2 linked regions of the Rattus norvegicus genome follow. The protein of the gene in region 2 purifies or fractionates together with the protein of the main gene of each other region. This does not show direct contact. Links are inferred from orthologs where the notes say so. Each region holds a gene or a part of one and is shown on either strand. Other genes may lie near its edges.

Evidence for each region.
Region 1: the proteins of Cpsf3 (region 2) and Cstf2 purify together in Homo sapiens (affinity purification with mass spectrometry; 3 studies listed by BioGRID and IntAct, with this or other methods). This does not show direct contact. The link is inferred for Rattus norvegicus from reciprocal best matches to the Homo sapiens genes CPSF3 and CSTF2.

Annotation. Positions count from the first base shown.
Region 1 is NC_086039.1:101,556,207-101,560,870, reverse strand, and holds part of Cstf2 (cleavage stimulation factor subunit 2), read right to left. Parts: intron 4,017-4,664; coding exon 3,954-4,016; intron 1,589-3,953; coding exon of another isoform or gene 1,529-1,588; intron 1,316-1,528; coding exon of another isoform or gene 1,214-1,315; intron 855-1,213; coding exon 713-854; intron 1-712. UniProt on the Homo sapiens protein: One of the multiple factors required for polyadenylation and 3'-end cleavage of mammalian pre-mRNAs. This subunit is directly involved in the binding to pre-mRNAs.
Region 2 is NC_086024.1:46,574,412-46,579,075, forward strand, and holds part of Cpsf3 (cleavage and polyadenylation specificity factor subunit 3), read left to right. Parts: intron 1-806; coding exon 807-896; intron 897-1,959; coding exon 1,960-2,110; intron 2,111-3,888; coding exon 3,889-4,064; intron 4,065-4,664. UniProt on the Homo sapiens protein: Component of the cleavage and polyadenylation specificity factor (CPSF) complex that plays a key role in pre-mRNA 3'-end formation, recognizing the AAUAAA signal sequence and interacting with poly(A) polymerase and other factors to bring about cleavage and poly(A) addition.

The sequences.
Region 1 (4,664 bases), on a different chromosome or scaffold from region 2:
GAGTATAAATTTGTGCATTCTAGAATTTATTTGAGCAGGGCATTCAATATTAGGGAAGAATTAATGGTTATTATATGTACAAGTATACAGTATAGTGCTCAGCAATGCAGGTTCTGGATTCAGACTGAATATTGAAATCCAGGTCTTAGCATTTATTAGCTGTTTGATCTAGGTCACTGATCAAACTGACCTAACCTCTATATGCCTTAGTTTCTTAATGTAAAAAACAGGATTAATAATACCCATTTTTGGGGCTGGGGATTTAGCTCAGTGGTAGAGCGCTTACCTAGGAAGCGCAAGGCCCTGGGTTCGGTCCCCAGCTCCGAAAAAAAAAGAACCAAAAAAAAAAAATACCCATTTTTAAGTGTTCTACCACTGGTGTTACAGCCCCAGTCTAAGGCAGATTTAATGAGATGATCTGTGTTAGGTACATAGAGAAGAACCAGAGGTATGATCCTCACTAACATCAACAACTATTGTTATTAATAATACCACTTATTTTCAATATCTGAATATATAGTAGTCATGGTTGGCTCAAAGTTACCTTAACTATATAATTAATGCTTTAGCAAAAGTGCTTAGTCTTCAACTACAAATACTTCTTTATCTTTTAAAGAAGGCAAACAAATCCAATTGTTCCAAAAAGACTTTGCTTCCAAAGTAAGGAAAACTCCCAACTTTTCAAGCTGTTTCCTTCTATATCAGTACTTACCTAGGTTCTACTTCTCCAGTTACGGTCATTAAAGTGCCTCCCCGTGGATCATTGGGAGCATCACCTAAAAGACCACGAGGAGTTGGGACGTTGGCAGGCAAGGCTCCCCGCTGCATAGCTGCTCTGGGGTCTTGCATTGGCACTGACAGGGAAACAAATGGGGAGTTACTGCTGTGAAAGACACATAAAAAACAAAAATGACTCTGTACCACTGACAATGTAATTCAAACACCTTAAAGTGGGTGAAACCTCACCACAGCAGAATCCTCTTGCAGCTCAAGAACAGAAGCAGGGTGTAGGCAGAATCTGTGCCATGTCAGAGGTATGGATGGAATTATATATAAACAGTAAACTGGGGAGCACCTGTCAAGAACTAGCAAAGTGACCTGAAGAAACTTATGATCCTGATTTTCTTTCTAACCAATCTTAGTTTAAGGACCAGAGTCATAAAAGAGAGGTTAGGGTCTTGGCATATGAACACTGTCATGGCTCTGCAAGAACCTGCTGTCTCCTTACAGACTGCAATTCCATCCAAGCCTCCTGACACCAGTAGGGAGGGAGTAGAGCCTCGGACAGATGCCCATATCATCCATGTTCTCTGCCCTGTGTGAAGAGGTCAATCTTAGGCTTGTGGCCTCAAGAGGGGAAAAAAAAACACAAAAATAAGAACAAAAAAAGCAAAAAATTAAAAAAAACCCAAAAACATTACCCTTTGGGGGTTCTGAACGTGAGGATCACTGCCAAGCAGCTCTTTTCCCCTCAATGTCCCACCCTGAACACCACAAGCAAAAGGAAACCCGCAGATACAATGGGTACCTTGAACTCGCTCAATTGATGCAGGCCCGGCGGGTCCCACGGGCGAGTGCTGTAAGGTTCCTAGGTGAGCAGTAAGTTCAAAAGGAGAGACACTTAAAATAGCTTGAACACACATAAACACACACACGGAACGGAGACTGGATATTTACATGTCAGTAAGAAGCCAAGAGTTCATTAGTTTGTCCTAGACTACAAAACTCCCAAAACTATAATAGGCCTTTCTCTTATCCAAAACAGCTCCACTTTGACCAGATATCTTTCTTTGTAAAACCTTTTAAAAATTTTATTTATGTATGTATTTTTTAAATGTAGGCGTGCGCTGTCTGCATGTACACCTACAGGCCAGAAGGGGGCATCATATTACTTTATAGATGGTTGTTAGCCACCATGTAATTGCTGAGAATTGAAGTCAGGACCTCCAGAAGAGCAGCCAGTGTTCTAAATCAGTGAACCATCTCACAGCCTCAGATACCTTCCTTAAGGGAAACCTATGGGCTAGTTTATTTGGGCAAGAATAACCTCTTGAACTCTTTTTGTTACAGCACCATTTTCCCTAATCACTTCTTGTACCATTATTAAAAAGAAAAAGGAAACAAGAGAAAAATGTTTTCAAAAGCAAACACAAATTGCACGGAATGTGACACGTTTTATCACAGACAACCATAACAGAAGAGGGGCAATATTAATTCCATCATATTTTAAAGTCTAGAATTTTCTATCAATAGTATCAAATGGGAAAATGCAGCTGAACTTTAGGTGAGGAAAGAGAGTATCACTCTGAAAGAAACAGTCTACTACAGCCAGTCTACAGTTATAAGAAACATGACAAAGATTAATGAGTTGACAAGGTATAACCAATATTAAAAAGACGGGAAAGAAGTTCTGTCTCAAACATCTGTTACCATTACAAACATGCAAACCTAACATGATTCCAGGCAAAGGAAAACAGGTCTGGTCACAAATGAAACCATTCTTGTTTCCTCTGCTGTGCACTGAAGGAAATTATTTTTTTAAAATTCATCTCACTTTGTTTTTGCCTCAGAAGGTCCTTGAAACACTTTCAAAATGTGAGCCAATTCCCCTGTTAATTCTTACCAGAAAGATGGGACTAAACTAAAGTAGGAAGATTTCTTGTTAAACAGCTGAATGGTTCACTGATAAGACAGATGGCCTGGGAAGAGGAAGAGATCAATGGAAGGCCAAGCCCTTCTCACTACTGCAAGATACTGAGGTAGATACGCCATGTACTAACAGTAATGAGATGGGGTACACAGCAGCACAGAAGCATGAGATACTTTTAAGGGAAGAGAAGATGTAGGTTACAAGTTTGTCTTGTTGTCATTCATCTGATATGTTTAGACTTGTCATTTCAATCACCAATCCCTGTATACCAATCATGGGCCTGTATCTTATTATGTGTTTTTGAAATGAGTTTCTCATATAGGGACTCAGCTGAGAAGAAAAATATTAAGGCCCTTTGGTCTGTCCAAAGCAATCCGTTCTCAACACATACCAAATGAATAACAAGAATATTTTGAAAATTAATTCTGAAAGAAGGCAGATTTTGGATTTGGAGACTTCGCTTTTTAAGTCAAAAACGAAGAGCACCAGATCCAGACCACCACAGTAGTCAGAAATGAGTATGTACTTACCTCATCCTACTGAGAAACTTAAAACTCCTGTGCTTCCATCTCTTTACCTGTAAAACTAAGGCACTGCCACCTAACTCAAAGGGTGGTCTATGAACATAGAGGTGGCTGAGTATATACAGTATATACTCAGTTCCCTTTTCTTCCATCGTCTTTCATTTTCTAACGGAACTAATATACTCTCTTCTCCTTCAAACTTCAATAACATAAGGAAAGAACACAAAGATTCTGGAAGGGTTGCTGCTGTTATATACGGTGTTTTTAGTTTTGTTTTAACCACAGTACAGGAGACTCTTTAAACTATGATTTATAGACCTCTGCTTTCCTCCCAGCTTACTACGGGATTTACATCCGATCATACACTAAATGCTCATTATATAAGTTTCTGACAAAGTAAATAGCTATTCAGATTAAGTGAGATCATGCCCGTGGAGCTGTTACACTACCAGGAAACAAAGTATGCATTTATTTGCCTTATCACCAACTCTTGTAGAGCTAGGTGCTGGATATGGGAAGTCTGGAGCAATAGAAGTTTAGTGAATATAGAAACATTCTACATCTGCAATGTCCAGTGTGGTCTTCATTAGCACATGTGGCTACTGAGCACCTGGAATGTAGTCACTGTGCCCAGGAAATCAGAGTATTAGGCTTTCATGATTAATTTGAACTTAATTTTAATGAATTTAATCTTTAAGTTGCCACTGGTGATTAGTGGCTGACACATTAGACAGTGCAGATATGAAACATTTCCATGTCTAGTCTATATTAATATTTACCTTGTCCTCGTTCCATGGGCACTGGTCCAGCTCCTTGCATTCCAACTTGGGCTTGCATGACTCCTAGAAAATGAAGTGCAGGGAAAAACATAAATTGGGCCTGTAGAAACAAACCCCAACAACAGTGGCTGAGTTTACGAATGTCATCCCTTTTCCCTTTTCCCTTTTCCCCCACAAGGAGAAAGCTCTGATAGAAGGTGAAGACTACCATTCAACAATGCAATGAGCAGAAGATGAAGTTTGTTTGTCAGCATATGTCACACTTCAGTGACAAGGGAGTCCACAAGGAATATTTTATCACAATTACCAAAATTGTAGCAGAAATCCCTTTAATACAAGAAAACAACACCTCTTACTTAACAAGCCTCTTCTCATGGGAGGCAGTGCCACTCATAGGATATTTTATAAATATATGGGTATATTATTTAGTTATGACAAAACCTTTGGGGATATAGGTGACACTAAATAAGATGGGGTCAGGGATACTAGGTGTCCTCAAAGTATGATGCAATTCCACAAAATCAAGGTTGATCTTCTATCCAATAAAACTTTCAAATGTCCCACTCAACATTCATACCCAGGAAAGTCTGTTGTCATTTCAACCTAGAGTCTGAGTCTGTCTTATTTGCAAACACGGAAGTTATATGCACTATTTTAGTATATATTCACTTTTCCAGAAATGCTATTACTGAGTAATTTATGGAGACTGCA
Region 2 (4,664 bases):
GAAGGGAAGAGTTTGCTCAGCACAGGATTGTGTGGCCATGCCAAGGAAAGGAAGGTGGAGATGTCAGTGAAGTTGTGATACCTGAGTGGACTAAAGCATCTGCATAGTTCATTAGTGTGGGATGTGTGTACTCACACACGTGTATGCATGGCAGAGGTGGGGGATGGGGGAGGAGACTGTGTTTATGTGTAGGAAGGACTACTCGAAGGAGTTGGTTCCCTCAGCCATGTGAGTCCTGGGAGTTGAACTCAGGGCATCAGGCTTGGCAGTGCCTTTACTGGCTCTGGAATTCTAGACTCCAGGGCAAGTAGCCATTGACTGAGACCTAGATGGAAAGATATGGCTTCTCTCTTGTACGTTTTTAGTGATTTTGCTTTGGAAGCTGGACAGCATGGTTCTATGTGAACATGGTCTATCTGAAATGTCTGCATACCTAGCCCTACATTGTCATCAGATCACTCATCCATGTTCCAGGGCCCCAAAAGTCAGCAGGAAATGGCAGGGCGCAGATCTGATTCATTCTGATTTGGCCCTGACAGTGCTGATACATGCTTATCTTTGAGGGTTGACTATGGGATATATTTTTCTGGAAAGTTAGATTTACTGATTGAAACCCAGGGTGTCTTAGGGACTAACTGACACATTTAGAATTAGATGCAGGCATTGTCTCTAAAGTCCCTTAAGTGTAGGCAGGTGAGTAGTTTGCTGTTTAAATTCAGTTTTCCTCCTAGACGTGAGGGTCTGTCTGCTCACTAGGAAGAGGAGCCTTTCCCAGATCCTGATATCCTGGCTCTGTGTCTTCACAGCTTTTGTATACAGGTGATTTCTCAAGACAAGAGGACAGACATCTAATGGCCGCTGAAATTCCTAATATTAAGCCAGACATCCTGATCATTGTGAGTATTAACGGACTGGATTATAGTTAGTGTAATGTAAACCTGAACTTCTAGTGGGGAAAAGAATGACAGTGTCACAGTCCTGACATCCTTGATGGGCACCTGTTTGCCTGTTGTTTGTTATGTGAGGATTCTCTTGGCTGTTTTTTGTCCCTCCCCTTTGCTCTACAGTGCATTCACGCTGACTTAGTCTTAGGATCATGGTCTGTCTCTGCAGCATGAGGAGACAGGGTGTGCCTCCCCGCCACCTGCATGTCTTTCCCTAGGCGAGTTTGTTAGGAGAACATATTAAATGGTCTTAGAGATGGCTTTGCCCTTTTCTGTGGAGTACTTGTCATATATTATTAGTTTGCAAGTCTCAAGGAAACAAAAGAATGAACTGTCTTCAAAAGCAGTTTTGAGGGGACTGATGGTTGACAGTGTCAGGAATGGTCCTCTTCTGGGCCTGTCATACACACAAAAGCATCAAGTACCTTTGGTCCCCACGGCTGCGGTTTGGACACATAGCTGCTGAAGTGTGAGCCCCTGCCTGTTGCTGTCCGTGTGCAACATGCAGAGTGGATTCCTTGTGACATGGCCTGGTGCTCAGCACAGGCACCAACTTGTGCTGGGGAAGTTGTTTTCCAGCCCTTCCGTGTGACTTGTGCTGTCGAGCAGAGCTTCCCTGGCTATAACTTGTCTGGTGCTGCAGCCAGTGTGCTGGGCCGTGGGTTCTGCGTTCCCAATAAGTACAGGAACTGCAGCAGCACTCGCATAGTGAGGAGGCCCCAGGTTCTTAAGTATAAGCCAGAGAAACATTGCTTACTGTACTTACTGTGCTTGCCCTTGAGGGAAGAAGGAACATTTTATACTGATCCCTGACTCAGTGTCTGTAGCATTCTTGGTATGATTTGGATTCTATTGTTATTTATTGTTTTTCTAGTTACTGCTATAACAACAGATGCTCAGGTGAATGCCGTGTTGCTGAAGAAATGAATCTCAGCCTCAGCTTTTCCTTAATGCTTAAGTTCTGAGTTCTCAAGAGTGGTTGGTCTTAGTCTTACATATCTAATCTGTTATTTAGGAATCTACGTATGGGACCCATATCCATGAGAAGCGTGAAGAGCGAGAAGCAAGATTCTGCAACACTGTGCACGACATTGTCAACAGAGGGGGCAGAGGGCTCATTCCTGTCTTTGCTCTCGGAAGAGCTCAGGAGCTGCTCCTGATTCTAGGTATTTGGGTGACTTACTCTCGCAGCTGTGGATACAGCATTTTATCTTTATTTCTAACTGTGACTGGGGACTGAAGGTGTAGCTCGGTGGCCTCCCAAACACACACGAGACCCCAGGTTCAATCCCCGGAGCTACAGGGGGCAACTTGGGGACCTGGTGCTGGTGAGAGCTGGGGGAAAGCAGCACCTAATGTCCACTGCTGCTAGGACCACCTGACATGCCTTTCTGGTTCCCATCAGTATTGGAAGCCTTCCAGCATGGGCAACTGTAGACTAACTATGGCACTTCTAGGACGTGAGGAGAGATAGGTGGAGGTGTTTGTCTTCTCAGTCCTTGTTGTATTTGAGGGTTTGTTTGTTTGTTTGTTTGTTTGTTTGTTTGTTTTAGATAAGGTCTTACTGTATATATAGCCCAGTATTTCCGACTACTGGGTCCTAGGTCTGAACTTCCATTATTGTAGTATTTTCAGGAAATACCATGAACATAAGTTGAGTTAGAGAGCAGAGTGTAGACTTTTCACAGAATATTAAGTATACCACCCTCCCCCCCCAAAAAATAGGACTAAAAAACTACCTGTCCTATAGTCGGCTTAGGTAATGACACAAGCACAAAGGAATAATAGGAAGATGAGTGGCCGTGATCTGCCCCTCTTGTGTCTTCCGAAGACCTCAGTCAGTGTGCATAACTTTGTACTGTAGGGTTGTGTGTTTGTGCTCCCTGATCCCCCTGATTTGATCTGTCATGATTCTGTGAGGGTCGTGCTGCAGACAAGTCAGGGCCTGCACTCACAGCAAGTGTGTGTGAGGTAGAGGTGCCTGTCCTCCGCTCTCTGTGCTTGCATCTCTGAGAAAGGGATGAACAGCGTTCTTGTTGCAGTGACTGGAAAACAGTCAAGGGAGGATAGGCCAACACCTCTCAGGACCACAGCAGTCCTTTACAGAGACTGCGCTTGTTCAGTTCTGTCCTCTGAACCTGATGGTGAGACAAGTTGGTCCATCAACATGTAGAGTAAAAATCTGTGGAAACCAGCAAAGAGCCAGAGGGGTGAAGGTGGCCCTGTGCTGTCACAGATAAAAATGTCCATCATCCAGGCACTTGATTGCAGACAGGCAAGGAAGGGCATCTCGTTTGACCTTAACTTGTACCTCCTGTGCACTCCACTCCTAAGCCGTTCAGACAAACCTGGGCAGCGTGTTTGTAAACTGCTGGGATTTAATGAGGTTATCCCTGAAAACAGAAAAAAATAGGCCTTCACATGAAAGTATTTTGTTCACAACTTTCATTAATTAGTAAGAAGCAGTTTATACAGAAGTTTTTTAGAAATACCATTATGTAATATATAATAAGCAATTGCTTGAAATAATAATTATATTAAAACCTCTATAAGCACTCGGGAGACAGAGGCAGGCAGATCTCTGTGAGGTCCTGACCAGCCTGGTCTACATAGTGAGACAGTCCAGGACATCGAGAGCTACACAGAGAAACCCGATTTTGAAAAACAAAACAAACCAACCAAACAAAAATATTAATCAGTATAAATATAAAAGGAGCATTTGTGAGAGACTCCATAGTTTTGATCTGTGACTACAACTTTGTTTTATTTTTAGATTTTATATTTCTGTTTAGATTTGTAGTTTACAGTAGTAAGGAACAGGGTGGCTTTGACAAACTCATTAAAATACAGTTATATGGCCCTTCGTTTCTCAGTTAGTTATCATCATGATTTGATTGCTTGCCTGGCCTGCTTAGTGATGCTTGCCTCTGTGACACCACTGCAGATGAGTACTGGCAGAACCACCCAGAGCTGCACGACATCCCCATTTACTACGCATCGTCTCTGGCCAAGAAGTGCATGGCCGTGTACCAGACCTACGTGAACGCCATGAACGACAAGATCCGGAAGCAGATCAACATCAACAACCCCTTCGTTTTCAAGCACATCAGCAACCTCAAGGTGATGCTCATGGAGGAAGGGGAGGCATGGCGGAGGGAGTGGGGAGGGGGGGGTGGGCACACTGCAGCCTGCCCTGCTGAGACTCTGCTCTCCAGCCGGCCTCATGGTGCTGGGACTCACTGGAGTCAGGCTTGCCCTTGCTTGGGGTCTCCACGTTCCCTCAGTACACAGCAGTCAACCTGAACCCTCCTGCCACAGGAAGAAAGGTTTAGATTCTGTTATTCACATCTGATCCTCCTTGATTAGCACTGCAAATTCCATGTAGGAATTTATAAAACTTCCATGTGTGTGTCCCAAGATGAATTAATGCAACTGGATTTAATTTAAAGTATATTATGATCAAATGCTTTCTAATAACATGTTTTAATTTTGGTTGGTTGGTTTGGGTTTTTATTTTTTTGAGACAGGGTTTCCCAACATAACCCTGGCTGTCCTGGAACTCACTCTGTAGACCAGGCTGGCTTTGAACTCAGAGATTTGCCTGCCATTGCCTTCTGAGTACTGATATTAAAGGCATTTCCCACCATGCTCAGTACATTTTAATTTTGTAATGTGGCACTTAAACACACAGTGCTAGCTGCTCTTACCATGGCCCATGCA